2 linked regions of the Tamandua tetradactyla genome follow. The protein of the gene in region 1 interacts with the protein of each later gene in a pairwise test. Links are inferred from orthologs where the notes say so. Each region holds a gene or a part of one and is shown in the gene's direction. Other genes may lie near its edges.

Region 1 (7,354 bases):
GACAATAGTCCCTGCCTTAACAGAGCTTTCAGTCTAGCATCATGAGGGTGTTAAGCAGTTACCAAATAAGTTCCTATCTGCTGTGTGACAGAAAGGGGTGAGTGCCATGTAGGAAACTCAGCCAGGAAGGGGCATGGGAGTGCCTGGCAGCTTTTAAATAGGGTGGTCAAGAAAGGCCTCACTAGGAGGTGAGGCTGAAATAAAGATCTGAGGAGCTGAGGAAAGTCATCCTGGGGAAAGGGAACACCTCGTATAAAAGCCCCGAAGCACGATAATACAAAGGCCAAGTGGCTGGAGTAGTGTTTGAGGGGAATAGGAGAGTGATAGATGGACTCTGAGAAATAATGGAGAGGGACCAAATCAGGTAGGATCTGGAAGGTCGTGGAAAGGACTTTGGCTTTTACTCATAGTTAGAAGCCTTTGGAGAAGCCTCTTCAACTGAGGTTCCTCATGTGAACCCTAGAGCCCAGAAATGATTTGAGTGACTGTTTTCTCAGTTTTTATAAGGATAGGAGTCAACTAATTATGTTGTAGGTGCCAGGCTAGAAGATAATTCATTATATCCATTGGATGTTTAAAGGGATCAGAGCTTAAGTCTCTCTGGAACCTGGTAGCCAAAGCCTCCAAGAGTGTGCCGAGTGGGACAGTGACGCGTGCTGACCTGCATTTTAACCAGAAATCTTGGTAGCTCTGCAGAGAGCAGTCCTTCATGTGGAGACCTGAAGGCCACTTGGGAAGCCTCTGCAGGATGGATGGTGGCTGGGGTCTGGGTGGGAGAAGAGGTCAGATTCCAGGTCGTTTTGAAGGCTGAGCACACAGAATTTATTGATAGATTGGATGAGAGTGGTGAGGAAAAAGGAGCAAGGATGCCTGGAAGGTTTTTGGTCTGAGCAGCTGGAAGGATGGAGTTGCCACTCGTTCATCCAGGAAATATTTTCGAGCCAGCTTTTGCGTACCCTGTTTTGTGTGCTGAGTATGGAACTGTGAGCCAGATAGACAAAGTTCCCTTCCTTTGTGAAGTGATAGCCTATGAATAAATGTTCTGCCTTAATCCTGACATGATGAAATGGTAGAGAGGGTTAGATAGATAGAGGGCATTCTCTGGAAGGACAAAACCATCCCCTCTCCAAAGATGGGACTCCACAGAGTTCCAGTGGCCACTTGACAAGCTGTCCTTGTTCACCTGTCTTCCCATGACCCAGCATCTGTCTGTTTCCCTTCAGTTTGGGGACTTCACGAAGAGGGTGGGTGTTCTCGGCCCTGGGCCCTGCTTCAGGGGAGACTGGGGAGGAGGAGGGCTGTGGGGGGCTTGTAGCTACCTCCCAGCCCCAACCTGTCTTCCCTGGCAGCGGCTGATCGACAAGACCAAGGTGACCTATCTGAAGTGGCTGCCTGAGTCGGAAAGCCTGTTCCTGGCCTCACATGCCAGCGGCCACCTGTACCTATACAACGTCAGCCACCCGTGCGTCTCGGCCCCACCCCAGTACAGCCTGCTAAAGCAGGGAGAGGGCTTCGCAGTCTACGCGGCCAAGAGCAAGGCACCCCGCAACCCCCTGGCCAAGTGGGCGGTTGGGGAGGGGCCGCTGAACGAGTTTGCCTTCTCCCCCGACGGCCGGCACCTGGCCTGCGTCAGCCAGGATGGCTGCCTGCGCGTCTTCCACTTCGACTCCATGCTGCTGCGCGGGCTCATGAAGAGCTACTTTGGGGGCCTGCTCTGTGTGTGCTGGAGCCCTGACGGGCGCTATGTGGTGACCGGTGGCGAGGACGACCTGGTCACCGTGTGGTCCTTCACCGAGGGCCGTGTGGTGGCCCGTGGCCATGGCCACAAGTCCTGGGTCAACGCGGTGGCCTTCGACCCCTACACCACGCGGGCTGAGGAGGCAGCGGCCTCTGCTGGTGATGGGGAGCGAAGCGGTGAGGAGGAGGAGGAGCCTGAGGCCGGGGGCGCCCCAGTGTCCCCACTGCCTAAGGCCGGCTCCATCACCTATCGCTTTGGCTCGGCCGGCCAGGACACGCAGTTCTGCCTGTGGGACCTCACTGAAGACGTGCTTTACCCGCACCCGCCCCTGGCCCGTACCCACACCCTCCCTGGCACCCCCAGCACCACGCCCCCAGCTGCCAGCAGCTCACGGGGTGGAGAGCCAGGCCCTGGCCCCCTGCCCCGCTCGCTGTCCCGCTCCAACAGCCTCCCACACCCGGCAGGTGGTGGCAAGGGGGGCGGCCCGGGTGCCGTGACAGAGCCAGGTACCCCTTTCAGCATTGGCCGCTTCGCCACCCTCACACTGCAGGAGCGGCGGGACCGGGGGGCAGAGAAAGAGCACAAGCGCTACCACAGCCTGGGCAACATCAGCCGGGGTGGCGGCGGGAGCAGCGGCGACAAGCCCAGTGGCCCTGCCCCCCGCAGCCGGCTGGACCCGGCCAAGGTCCTGGGCACGGCGCTGTGCCCGCGCATCCACGAGGTGCCGCTGCTGGAGCCCCTGGTGTGCAAGAAGATCGCCCAGGAGCGCCTCACTGTCCTCCTTTTCCTTGAGGACTGCATCATCACTGCCTGCCAGGAGGGCCTCATCTGCACCTGGGCCCGGCCCGGCAAGGCGGTGAGTGGCTCCCCCGGGACCTCGCAGGACCCTTGGCCCAGGCCTTTGTCACCAGCACAGCTTCAGCCCAGGGGGATGAAAGCTCAGAGTCGGAGGACAAAGCCTCTGCAGTGTTAGAGGACGGGTTTCTAGAACCCTGGGACATGAGTTCCGGGAGGTGAGGTCAAGTATAGAAGTGGGGTGGGGGTGGGGGTGGGGGTGGGGGAAGGCAGCATGGCTGGGTCTGGCTGCTTGTGACTAGAAGCAGTCTGTATTTCTAGGGCAAATTGGTTTTTAAATGGTGAAACTTTTGAAAATACTGCGGGCCAACCTAAACACATCTGTGGGCAGTTCTGAGTCTGTGGCCCGGCTACCATGTGGCATCCCAGCCAGTTGCTGGAGGCCCAGGCCATGGCTCCCAGATAACAGTCCTGCTCATTTGGTCTCAGGGCAGTCACTGCCCCTCTCTGACCTCCACCCGTCATCTTATAGGAGAGAGCCTGTGAGATGGCTGGCAGGGGTGCACCCACCTCCTAGGGTGGCTGTGGGGTTTGGGAAGATCATGGCAGGTGAAGCACAGGGCTTGACACCTTGGAAATTCGGGAGTGCAGCACCTCAGCATTTGGGCTCAGCTTCCAGGCTGGCAAGTCTAGGGCTGCAGCTTTGCTCCTTGGAAGAATGGTTTTAGAATCTTAAGAGTCCTGAGTCACAGTTTCAGAGTATCAGAGGCAAGGGTGTTGGAATACCGGGGCCTTTGGGAGCCCTGAAAGAACCCCCTCCTCTATCTCCCTAGTTCACAGATGAGGAGGCTGAGGCCCAGACAGGGGAAGGAGGTTGGCCCAGGTCACCCAGCAAGGCAGTGGTAGAGGTAGGACTGCCCCTGAGATTTTTCTCCCCCAGAATTCAGCACCGTCCAAGTCAGAAAGAGACCTCAGTTGCCCCCCTCACCTCCCCATCCCATCCTAACCCCATCTGTTCTGCACGGGATCAGCTGAGGACTTTATTAGTATGAAGTACCAACTGCTAGCCAGGAAGCCTAGAGCAGCACAGAGGCCGGGGGCGGTGGGGCGCGGATCTGGTGGCGCCCTGGGTGGTCCCTAACCCTCCCCTCTCCCCTCATCTTCCCAGGGCATCTCCTCCCAACCAGGCAACTCCCCGAGTGGCACGGTGGTGTGAGACTATGGACGGGCCTATGCCCCCACTGCCTGGCCGTCACCCTCCCCACTGAGCTCACCGAGCAACGTATTAACAAGACTAACCATGACGATGGACCACACCGCCCCCTTTTCCCTGCACAAACTTGGGGGTCAGAGGGTCCCTCTGCTGGCCTAGACACTGGGGGTGTGTAGTGACCTGCGTGGCCTCAGCCTTGTCCCTGCCCACTGCCAAGTACAATGACCCCCTCTGAAACGTCAGTGTTACCCTCATCCCTGTCCCCAGCATGTGACTGGTCGCTCCTGGGTGAGGATGTCCCCTGACCCATGGGAGTCCAGCTCTGCAGTGCGCCTCAGCCATGGACAGGGCAGGGGGTCCGCCCCTCCCCTGGCCCCGCCCCTCCTTCGCTATTGTCTGTGCTTCCCCAAGAGTGTTAAATTATGGAAGCCCCTCGGGGCCCTCCCCACCGTCAGGACCTCTTATTTATACTAAAGTCCCCTGTTTTCACAGCCGCGGGCCCAGCGTGTATGTTCCCTTCATGGGGGTGTGGAGGGGGCGGGTGTGCTGCGCCTCCTGGGATGCATGCACCTTAAGGCCCTGCCTCCGTCCTTAGCGTTGCCGGGAAAACCTGAGGCGGGGGTGGGGCTTGCTGAGGCCACCGCTGGTGACTCCGTGCTGGTGGTCCTGAGCAGGGGCACACCTTCCAGAACCCCTCTCCAGAGCCCTTGGCGGGAGTTTTTAATGAGTTCAAGTGCCCAAACTGTCCGAATGAAACATTCCAGATTTTTTAAAGGGCCTGTCCAGTTGGGGGTTCCTCAGGCATGGCTTGGACTAAAGATCTGAGCTGCCCTGAGGACCAGTCTTCCCCCCTGTGCCCCCAGCCCACCCTGGCCGGAGCCAGCTAGAGTCCGTGAGTTCCTCTCCAGAACAGTCTGCCCCTGGGAAGAAGGAGTAGGACCCCCTCTTGACTGGTTCGCTAGCTGCAGGGAGCTGTGTCTTCCCGCTCCGCCCTCCACCCCCCGAAATGTTTCTGTTTCTAATCCCAGCCCGGGCAGGAATGCAGCTCTCCGGCCAGGGTCCAAGGATCTATTTTGGGGTCTCCGTTGCTTGGGAAGGGCTTTGCTGCCCCACCCACCTCCCCCAGGTTTTGGCCAGTGGGTTACTCCTGGTTCTGGCTCCTGAGGGCCTCCCCGCCCATTTCTCACCTTACCACCCCTTCCTGACCGCCTGCAGGCGGTGTGAAGCCAAGTCCCGGAGGGCTAAATTTAACTGTCCCAAAGTTGGAATCTATGGCTGAGTCACCCGAGAAGCTGCCCTGGCCTCCAGCCCCCCTTCTTTGGCCTCAGCCCCCCTCCCTCCACCCCTGCCTGGGGTTTGTGTTTGTGTATGGGGGGGTTGCCTGGATCACTCTGGACCTCAATTGGTCCCCTCTAGAGAATGGGCGGGCTCATCTTTGGCATCTGTCACACCTGTAGTTTTCCTCTCCCCTTTTTATTGGGGGAAGGGTGTAAGAATGGTGATTCCCCCCTCCCCCATTAAACTGAAGGGTTCAGAGGGGCCTTGGAAGGAGGGAGTTGTGGGGGGCTGGCTTGTGAGGGGTTAAGGCTGGGAGGCGGGAGGGGGGCTGGACCGAGGGGGTGGAGAGAAGAGGAGGAGGTCTCGGCAGCAGAGAGAAGTGGCCAGAGAGGCCTAGGGGACAGCCAGGGACAGGCAGACATGCGGCAGGGGCCCTGGGGCCTGGACAGGGGCTGACGTCCCGGTGACGGGAGGAGCCCGAGCCCCCAGCCCGGGGAGGGGGTCATGGTGCTGCCTGCCCGACATGTCAGCCGAGGTGCGGCTGCGGCGGCTCCAGCAGCTGGTGCTGGACCCCGGCTTCCTGGGGCTGGAGCCCCTGCTCGACCTTCTTCTGGGCGTCCACCAGGAGCTGGGCACCTCCGACCTGGCCCAGGACAAGTACGTGGCCGACTTCTTGCAGTGGGGTGAGTGGCTGTCTGCCTGGGCCTCCCAGGGTCAGAGACAGGAAATGGGTTGGGTGCAGGGGTCTGGCTGTTGGGGGACAGGACGGACAAAGGCAAATTGTCCAATGCATGGCCCTAGAGCCTGGACATGGGTCTTGGGGTGCTGTGCCCTTCCCCATACCCCTGGCAGGGCAGGGTCAGCAGAGGCCGGGGCAGCCATGACACGGAACCATGGCTTGGCAGCATCAGGAGCCATGGAGGGCTGGGCTGGGCACAGCCTCCCATGGGGCCTTTACCCCTACCCAAGGCTAAGCTGGGAGCCCCATCTCCAAAATGGGTCCTATGGCCCTCCATCGTGGTTTCCCAGAGCACGGACAGGCGGAAGGGACAGTGTGGGGCAGCTGCCAGGGGCGCGGCCATCTGGCAGGTGTTCGGCGTCAGCCTCTCCAGCTGCCCCAACAGGTGCCCAGGCCCTGGGAGGGTGCGGTGACTCAGGCTGGCCCTGGGGAAGAACCAGCTCTGCAGACAGGCGCCACCCAGCAACCCCTCTGTCCCCAGATTGAGGAGGGCCACTTCTGTCGGTTCCATGTTTTCCAACATTCTGATCTCTGCTAGCCTGCCTGAGCCATCCCGTTTTCCACTAATTCTTGACCCCTTTAATCCTCCTAGTTGAGGACCCCCAACCTTCCAGGTCTCCCCACAAAGCCCATTCTTGCAAGGTCTTTCCAGGCAGGCCGGGTCCGGAGAGGAGATGCTTCAATTTGGCTGCCCCCCCGGCACCCCCACCCCCCACCCCCACCCCAAGCCCAAGCCCAGGGCACAAGGTCACTCTAATCTCTGCCTGTGTAACATCCTGCCACTGTGTCCCCCCATCTGTTTGCCCTGCAGTGGCTCGATTTGGGTCTGTGTAGGTCATAGTCTTTCTGTCATTGTCTTTCTGTTTCCTGTCACTCTCCCCTCACCCGTATCTGTCCCCTTCCATCCCAAGCCCCGCTTCTCTCCCTCCTCCCATTTCACAGGGGGTAGCCTGGGGTTGGGCCATTCAGCCTCTGGAAGAACCCCCCCTACCTCCCCCGAGCCCTTAGTTACTCTCCTAGCCTCCCTTTTGCAGAGGACTAAGCTTGCCTGGCAGGGTAAACTGAGGCCTAGGGTGGGGGCGGGGGTCTGGCTCTCCTGTAAGGAGCGCTCCTTTTGTGGCCTGAGCCCGAATCCTGCGGCCCCTCCTCCGCCCAGCGAAGGGGGAGAGGGCCTGGGTTCCCGCTGCCTTAAAAGGGCTCAATGTCTTGGCTCTCTCCTCCCTCCCCCGTCCCTGGGCCCTGGCTGCTGCTTCCCTGCCGGCCCATTCTCCCTGAACCCCGCGGGGGCCATCTCTCCGCTCCAGAGCGCACCCTATATCCCCTGTCTCCCATCCCTCCCTGCATCGGGCATCCCTTAGCCTGCTGGCTTCTGGGAGCCCAGGCCTCCCCTTCCCATTGCCTCTGAGTCTCGGGGCCTCCATCCCTGGTTTATCGCCTTCCCTGCCACCCTGTTTAACATTCCAAGCTGCTTGACTTTGGTTTCCCCATCTGTAAATACGGGGTAATACAAGGCCCTTCCTGGATTTGTGGAGAGGACTGGCCGGCCCTCCTACCAGTGCCTGGAGCCCTGGAGCACTGGCTGCGTGCCCGG
Region 2 (7,915 bases), on another chromosome or scaffold:
AGATAAAAAATTGGAATATAGAAAGTATACTTTATATCAATACCAAATTTCTTGAACTTGATATATGCACTTAAGTGATTTATGTAAGTGAATATATCATTGTTTATAGGCAATGTACATGGAAGTGTTATGTGTGCAAGGAGGATGATGTGTGCAACTTGTTCTTAAGTGTTCAGAAGATGATAGACAGATAGATAAGCAAAATATTAAAACTGATGAACCTGGTTATCTAGAGGGGGCAGGGTTATGTCAAATTCATCAGCTACCACTGCTTGCTTCTAGACCTAAAGTCTGATATGTCCATTTCTCTGAAGTTTACTTTTATTTACTTAAATATTTTGCCCATATCATCATCATTTTTTCCTACTTAAAAAAAATGCTACCTAGAAAAGAAAACAAACAAAAAAAATTCTACCATTACAATGTGCTTGGAGCAGAGTGTTGTATCAAACTTGATACAAACCATTGCTCTAACTTGTTGAAATGTCTGTCCCCCATTTGTTCTTTAACCCACCACTTTCCCGGAGCTATATTTATGTATGAGTAGGTTTGGCTAAATCTAATGAACACTTCAGCTCACATACTATTTGACTTTTATATTCTGCATTTGATAATCCACTTAAGCACTCACCTTTTCCTTCTTGAAACTTCACGCCTTTATTTTCTATGACATTGTGCTAAACAAGTTTTTCTCCTGTCTTGCTGGGCACTTTCCAGTCTCTTATGTGCTCATTTTTCTCTACCAATCCCTTAATGTCTGTCTTTGTATTGTTGGCCTTATATAAGCTAGCTCTAGATTATATCCACTGCCCTAGCTTCTACTCCAGAGCACTGGATCTACACATTCAAACACCCATTGAAATGGTGGTGGTTTTTTTTTTTTTGGGGGGGGGGGGGGGCGGGTCTTAAGTAAATAATATAAACACTTATTGATGAATTATTAATTGTATTTTTTCTTGGTTAATTGGATATATCTCAGTCTTAGTTCATTAGGTGTTTGCTGGATAATTTAGAAGCCAGACCTAAGGCTTGTTAAGCAATAATCACCCAAGTCTTAGTTATTGCCCTTGGGAATCAACTAAAGGAATCAGTTGAAAAACATCAAATAAGGTTGGAGGTGCCATGTCTTTTCATCATCTCAAAGATGCAGGAATGTCTTTTATATACTGTTATCCAGAGTTCCTTCAGATTTGCTCAGGTTGTTGGAACTGAGGGTAAAATCAAAGAGGGAGGAGAGAGAGGAACCGACATTCCTTGAACTCTGCCAAGGGTTTTACCTATTTTTTCTCCTTAATTTATTCCTTACAACAACTTTGTACAAATAAGTCCCCATACTATAAATGGAAAACCTGAAGACCAGAAAGGTTAAATGACTTGCCTAAAAGTAACCATTAGTAAGTGGTACACCCAGTCATTCTGACTCTAAAATCCCTGGAGTCCCTTAAATCATAATGCAATGATTAAATTCACTTGCTGGTAATTGTACATTTATTTCTAAAATACCGAAAATTCAAACATGAGGCAGTTATCTGTTGCTGAATGATATTTTATTAGCTTAATAAATTGGGCCTGCCCTTAGCATTAATAAGCTTCATCTCTAGTCACAGGATTTTCATTCATTGGTGGGGAACCTTTCTTATTTAAAAAAAATTCAATTAGAGAAAGGGCATCTACTTCTTGGGGGCTGCAGTGACAGCGGGCTTCTCTTCACGGGTAATGGGAATGGTGCGCTCAGAGCCAGAGACTTGTTTCCTTGGTCCGTTCACAGTAAGGACTCCATCAGATGAAAGGGATGAAGTAATGGAGACAGGGTCCACATCAGCTGGAATCCGGTATTTCCTGTGGAACTCCCGGGAGATAAAACCATGCTCATCCTAATCCAAGGGAACAAGGAAGAGGCAGAGAAATAAGAACAGGAAAAACACCACTTGCCTGGAAACCAGACATCCTCATTCCCCTTAAGTTGAAGCAAATTTCATAGCAATGAGATGAGAGAAAGCTAAATAGTTGTTCATTTCAGATTTAGGGCTAAGATGAAGTTGCCTAGGTAGTCACTCCTACCAACAGCAGTCTGAGAAGTCTGAAACAGCCCCAAATTTCAGAGTTTGCCAAACTCTGAAGCAAGTAGTTTAGGGGCTAGGGGTTTTCCAAAGGTTTAAATCAATGTTTGCTAGACGTACAAGATTTGGAATCTCACACTGGCATTGAGGATCTGAGTCTCCAAGAAAGCCAAAAAATATCCTGACTCTTCAGGAGTATCTCAGAATGTTCCAGACCAATAGAGCTGCTGTTAAAAAAGTGACTCCATTCAAGGAGACCATGCCCCAAACTTAAATTGTATGATCAAAACTGAACTAGCCTGAAAACTTCTATCTGTTCTGTTTGAAGCGCAAATATCTGAGTTATCATTAATAGTGAGACACATAGTCATTTAAAAAAACTCTCCCAGAAAATGAGATGCTCTTCATTTTTCAGAATCCTGCAAAGAATACTTGGTCCTAACCCTTATACCCGCTAAATCTCAAGCATTTATCCAAACAGGCTCTCGATAAACTATTTCCACATGGGTTCTGAAATTTAAGCAAACCAAGTATTTCAGCATAAAGATGGGCCTAAAGAGAAATGGATTACTGAACATCTATACAAGGCATCAATCTCATATGCCTTCAGGTGCGTGAGATTAATGTAATTATGTAAAACAACCAAGTCTCTGACAAGCACTATGCCTAAATCAGTGGTTTTCAGCATTGATTGTACATTAGAATTATCGAGGGAGCTTTAACAAATATTAAAGGGTCTCACCTGTAAATATTCTGATTTAATTGGTATGGAATGCACCCAGGCATTAGGATTTTTGAAAATTCCCCTGGTGATTCTAATATGGCCAAGGTCGAGAGCCACTGGCTTAAATGAAAGTAAACAATCCATCTCATCCATTCAAGGCAGTCAAATCAAAACAAACAAGTTAGTCTTCTAGCTACTGACTTGTGACCCTGGTCTAGACCCTTACGGCTTCGGATTGGAATGTTGCCAGCCTCAGAGGTTGATGGCATTGCCTGGCATATAGTAGGCACTGAATGAATGAGCAGAAGAGAAAACAAGCTACATACCTGGCGCTCTTCATGTTTGCCATGCACCTCAATCACATCTCCCAGAACCTTGACTTTGAGTTCCTCTGGGGAGAAGTGCTTCACATCCAGGTTGACAGAGAACCTGTCCTTCTCCAGGCGCATCTAGAAATAGCAAAGTGGGGAGGGGATAATGGAAAAGATGGTAGAAAGACTGGTGCAGTCTCATCATTCTAAAGAATTGCTTTCTGTCCGGCTATTTTAACCGCCTCTTTTCTGCTAAAAATCCCTTTTTTAATAAATAAACATGGCTTTCTGGCTTAAGGAGTCACCACAGTGGTACTCAAAGCATACGACTTGGTCACTTGGTCATCAGGCTCAAACTTTATTTACCAGGACAAGGGAGAAGACAGAGCCACCCAGGGGAACACAATCAGTCACAAGAATGGCCTGCATGGTTTCAGCTGTCTCTCTGACCCCAATGCCTGGCCTTGTCATTTGTTTGTGAGACAAAGGCCCCTTTTTCTTGTTCATAAATCTGCCAAGTTTCCCACCCACTCAATCTGGAATGTTCTGCTGGTCTTGCTTGTCCTTCCAAAGCCCTTGCCCACTCAGCTCCTGTTCACTCACACTTGATTATTTTTAAACCAAGGTATTATCTGTGGCAGCTTTTGTCAACCCTATCTGTTCATCCTTCTCTGACCCTCCTAGGACAAGTGGGGGGCCTCTTCCTCATAAGGCTTGGACCTGGGCCAATGCCCTGCCTCAGCCCTTGAGAAGTCAGGAAAACCACAGAAGAGAGAATAAAATGGAAGAAAATAATAGCTGTTGTCTCCAGCTCCACCCAGTGGGCATGAAAAGCTCAAGACGAGGTAGGACTCTCTCCTAGTCAGGACAATGAGGTATTAGAAGAGGTCAGCAAAGGAGTCTGAAGGCAGCTCTCTCCTTTCACATCATTATGAACCAAGCCAGAGAAGAGACATCCTGCTTAGAAGTTAGGGGACAAAGGATGATTTTTATCATGCATAAAGATTGTGAAAGATTGTACACTAATAAATAGGATGCAGAAGAACATCATATAGAAACAGGTAACTGGGGGAGGGAGATGTTAGTAGCCTCATCTTTCTTTACTATTGGATACTTAGGATATAAATATAATCCAGTTTAAGCACAGAGGAGGAAGAGGAAAGTGGAGAAGTTTCCAGAATATTCTAGGAAGAACTCTCCTGTTCTGGCAGGGAGAGGGGACTCACCTCTGAGAGCCCAGTATCAATCCAGCTGGGTGCCCGCAGAAATGAGGGTGGCCGAAGGTAGAAGGGGCTCAGAGAAGTAGAAGTTGGAAAGAGATCTGATTCCAACAGGTGCTCTCCGAAGAACTGGTCGAAGAGGCGGCTGGGGGAGTGGAAAGGAAAAAAGGGGCGTCGGATCCAGGGATGGTGGATGGCGATGTCCATGGTGACTAGGTTGAGTGTGAAGACTCAGCTGGCTGGTCCGTTCCTTCAGCCTCAGCTACGGCCAGCCCCTTTATATACACAGTCTTGTGAAGCTTCTGGAATGGTGATGTCAGGGGTTTTATTATCCTAGCTCGCCACCCGTTCATGGAGACTTGTGATGGGGATTTGGCAGTGTGACACATAACCAATACTCACTGAGCTAAGAAAAGAGAAACACAAACAGGTCTGAGCTGGCCAGTGACTTGTCCTGGTCTTGTTTCACTGGCTTTCCTGTCCACACCTAACAGCAGCACCCCCACTCCCCACCCCTCATTCTGTTCTCTGGAGCTGGGACAGTGTCAAGAATGTCAGGCAGGCAGTGGTGTGCCCCTCCTCTCTCCTTTCCTCTCCAGTCTCACATGCCAGAGGCATTGGGCCAGCAACTATCTTGGGCCTGGGCAGGCACTGGAATCTTCCTAGGCTGAGCCCCAGGGACATTAACTCTTTGTGGGTCCCTGGAGAAGAGCAGTGATCACCAACATGCCCGTGCCAGGCATCTGCATGGTGCCCTGGGTTGCCCTGGTTTCGGGAGAAGACCCTAATACTAATCTGGGGAGGAAGACACCCACACCCAGCCCCGCACTGACACTACGGAAAAGGTAGAAAAGTTTCTTGCATCTTTCAACCTACAAGCCTCGTAAAACATTAAATCTAGGGGTGCTGTCTGAAGTACGGCGCACCGTGCCTGCGACTGGGGAGGAGAATGGGTAGTGTGGAAAACGTGCAGACTGTTGGCGAGGGTCTCAGCTACGCAGCAACTTGTCCTCCCCTCCCCCAGCCCACTCCTGAGCCAGGACCCCCAGCTGTCCTCTCAGGCACCCTGCGACAGCTAAAGGGTGTGCGGGGGGGAGGGGACTGGGGGTCCGGGAGGCACTAGTCACACACTCGTTGCTCCCACTCAGGGCCCCCCTTCCCGTCCCTCCCTCAGAGGCTCGGCACTATTTTGGGTGTTGTAGACCCCGCCCCCACCTCCGACCGAGCCTTGGCTCTTCAGACAGCTGGAGGGGCTGCACCTCCGACCAGCGCCGCCAACGCATCTGCAGCCATGTCGGGTCGCTCGGTGCCACATGCCCACCCGGCCACCGCCGAGTACGAATTTGCCAACCCGAGCCGCCTGAGTGAGCAGCGCTTCGGGGAAGGTATGGCACAGACGCCGCCCCCTTGCCTCCCACCCCCACCTACTGAAATTCTGGGCAGACCTCCCAACTTTACTGGCCTCCACCCCACTAAGGGCTTAACTGAACTCTTGGGGCGAGCCATCTTCCATCCCAGACTGCTCTACCCGCTCTCCCCCCACCCCCAGTAGGGCTCTTTCTCCTTCCTCCTGACCTCAGAAAAGACATGATACCTGCAACGCTGATATCTTCTCTTTGTCCCCCTTCTATCCACCGTGTCCTAGTTTGGTTTGCCCTCCCCACCCCTATCTCATTTATTTTGTCAGTCCCCTCTCTCTGGCTACTTCCTCTTCCTCCACCTACTCACTGTGTCCCTCTCCCTTCCTCTCCCTATTTAACTCCTCTTCTGGTCCTCCAGTCCCTCCTCATCTCCTAGTCTCCTCTCATTCACCCCCCATCCCCATCCCCACCTCTCCTCCCTCATTCTGACTCTTCTCTTCTCTCTCTGTGCCCCTCAGGCCTCCTGCCAGAAGAGATCCTGACGCCCACCCTCTACCATGGCTATTATGTCCGGCCACGGGCCAGCCGAGCTGGGGAGGGCAGCAGGGCAGGGGCCTCTGAGCTTAGGCTCAGTGAGGGCAAGTTCCAGGCATTTCTGGATGTGAGCCACTTTACCCCAGATGAGGTGACCGTGAGGACTGTGGACAACCTTCTGGAGGTGTCTGCCCGGCACCCCCAGCGCCTGGACCGCCACGGCTTCGTGTCACGAGAGTTCTGCCGCACCTATGTCCTGCCTGCTGATGTCGACCCCTGGCGGGTCCGGGCTGCTCTATCCCACGATGGCATCCTTAACCTGGAGGCACCTCGGGGTGGCAGACATTTGGACACGGAGGTCAATGAGGTCTACATCTCCCTGCTCCCTGCGCCTCCTGATCCAGAGGACGAGGAGGAGGCGGCCAGAGTGGAGTCCTGATTGCTGCAGACTCAGCACCTAGCAGATCCCTTTCTACCTCCTGTGGTGATAGGAACAGCTGCCCACAACCCCAGAGGTAGCAGCATCCTTGGGGGAAGGGATTGGTGCACTGTCCACAATGTATGGTGTGGTCCCTTGGGACATGTCATAGCCTTTGGCTTAGATCTGGGTGGAGCTGAATAAACCCAAATCTCAGGGCCTTGTCTGTGCTGCTCCCTATTGTGTAGCCTGAAGGATGGGATGGGCAGGGAGGGAGGAAGTTATAGCTAACTAGACATAAAGCTCTTCAGATAGATGTACCCAATACAACAGCACCCTGAGCTCACACTTGGATGCTGAGATCATAGCCGCAAGCTGGCACTGGCTCTAGATCAAATTCCTAGCCACAGTTTTCTCACAATGCAACAAAAGAGATTGTGATCCTGGGACCGAAAAAGGATATGCCATCCAAACAGCCCAGAGGGCACTGTCTGAGCTGGTGATTAGAGACACAAAAACTAGGGGTCTCCAGACTGTCTGGCCCTTTTTGGGCAGGGGTTAGGAAAACAGTGACTGGCTAGAGAGAGTTGCGGAAAGCCCTGGGATGAATACTTTGTTTTTCCATACTAAGATCTGTCTACTAAAAATGGCTTCTGATTCCGAGGGACTGCCAGTACATACACAGGGGCACAGACACACAGCCTCTACCATTTCACCAAATCCTAAGGTCTTCCCACTTTTTGCACAGAGGAGGCCCATAAGAGAAAGCCTTGGTCCCCAAACTTGGAACATTTCAAAAGAGAGGCAACACTGCATCATCCCATTCAATCCAAGTCAAAATGTAGGGAATCTAGAGCCATTACTGTGATAGTGGTGACTCCCAGGGAATATCTCCTTGGAGTCCTACAACTAAGGGTATTGGGTATTCAGGAAATCCTAAGGGTCTAACCCCTCAGTAATTCTCTGTAATGAAGAGAGCATACATGGATATGATTTGGGGAGTGTCTAGAAGAACTTTCCTTTACCAAACTCTGGTGGATACCTGAAATTCTTCCATTAAAGTGGTGGTTCTTAACCTCTGGGTTACAGACCCTTTTGAAAACCTGACAAAAATTGTAAATACATACCCTTTTCCCAGAAAAATACAGATACTCAAAATTTGACCTACAATTTGAATAGGTTCACAGAACTCTTGAGATCCATTCATGCGTTCATGAATATACTTACAGATATACTTCTCACTTGAGAAATTCAATGATTGATTAAAGGTTTGCCTCAGAGAAATAA

What was found.
Region 2: the proteins of DMPK (region 1) and HSPB2 interact in a two-hybrid assay, tested with the Homo sapiens proteins (2 studies listed by BioGRID). The link is inferred for Tamandua tetradactyla from reciprocal best matches to the Homo sapiens genes DMPK and HSPB2.

What each region holds. Positions count from the first base shown.
Region 1 is NC_135342.1:15,270,781-15,278,134, forward strand, and holds the start of DMPK (myotonin-protein kinase), read left to right. Parts: upstream 1-4,274; 5' UTR 4,275-5,528; coding exon 5,529-5,707; intron 5,708-7,354. Other genes in the region: DMWD (dystrophia myotonica WD repeat-containing protein), read left to right, coding at 1,350-2,594, 3,367-3,441, 3,702-3,749. UniProt on the Homo sapiens protein: Non-receptor serine/threonine protein kinase which is necessary for the maintenance of skeletal muscle structure and function.
Region 2 is NC_135334.1:29,336,821-29,344,735, reverse strand, and holds the start of HSPB2 (heat shock protein beta-2), read left to right. Parts: upstream 1-4,903; 5' UTR 4,904-5,160; intron 5,161-5,489; exon of another isoform or gene 5,490-5,555; 5' UTR 5,556-5,606; coding exon 5,607-5,700; intron 5,701-5,909; exon of another isoform or gene 5,910-5,988; intron 5,989-6,194; coding exon 6,195-6,649; 3' UTR 6,650-7,915. Other genes in the region: CRYAB (alpha-crystallin B chain), read right to left, coding at 1,671-1,874, 3,111-3,233, 4,322-4,522. UniProt on the Homo sapiens protein: May regulate the kinase DMPK.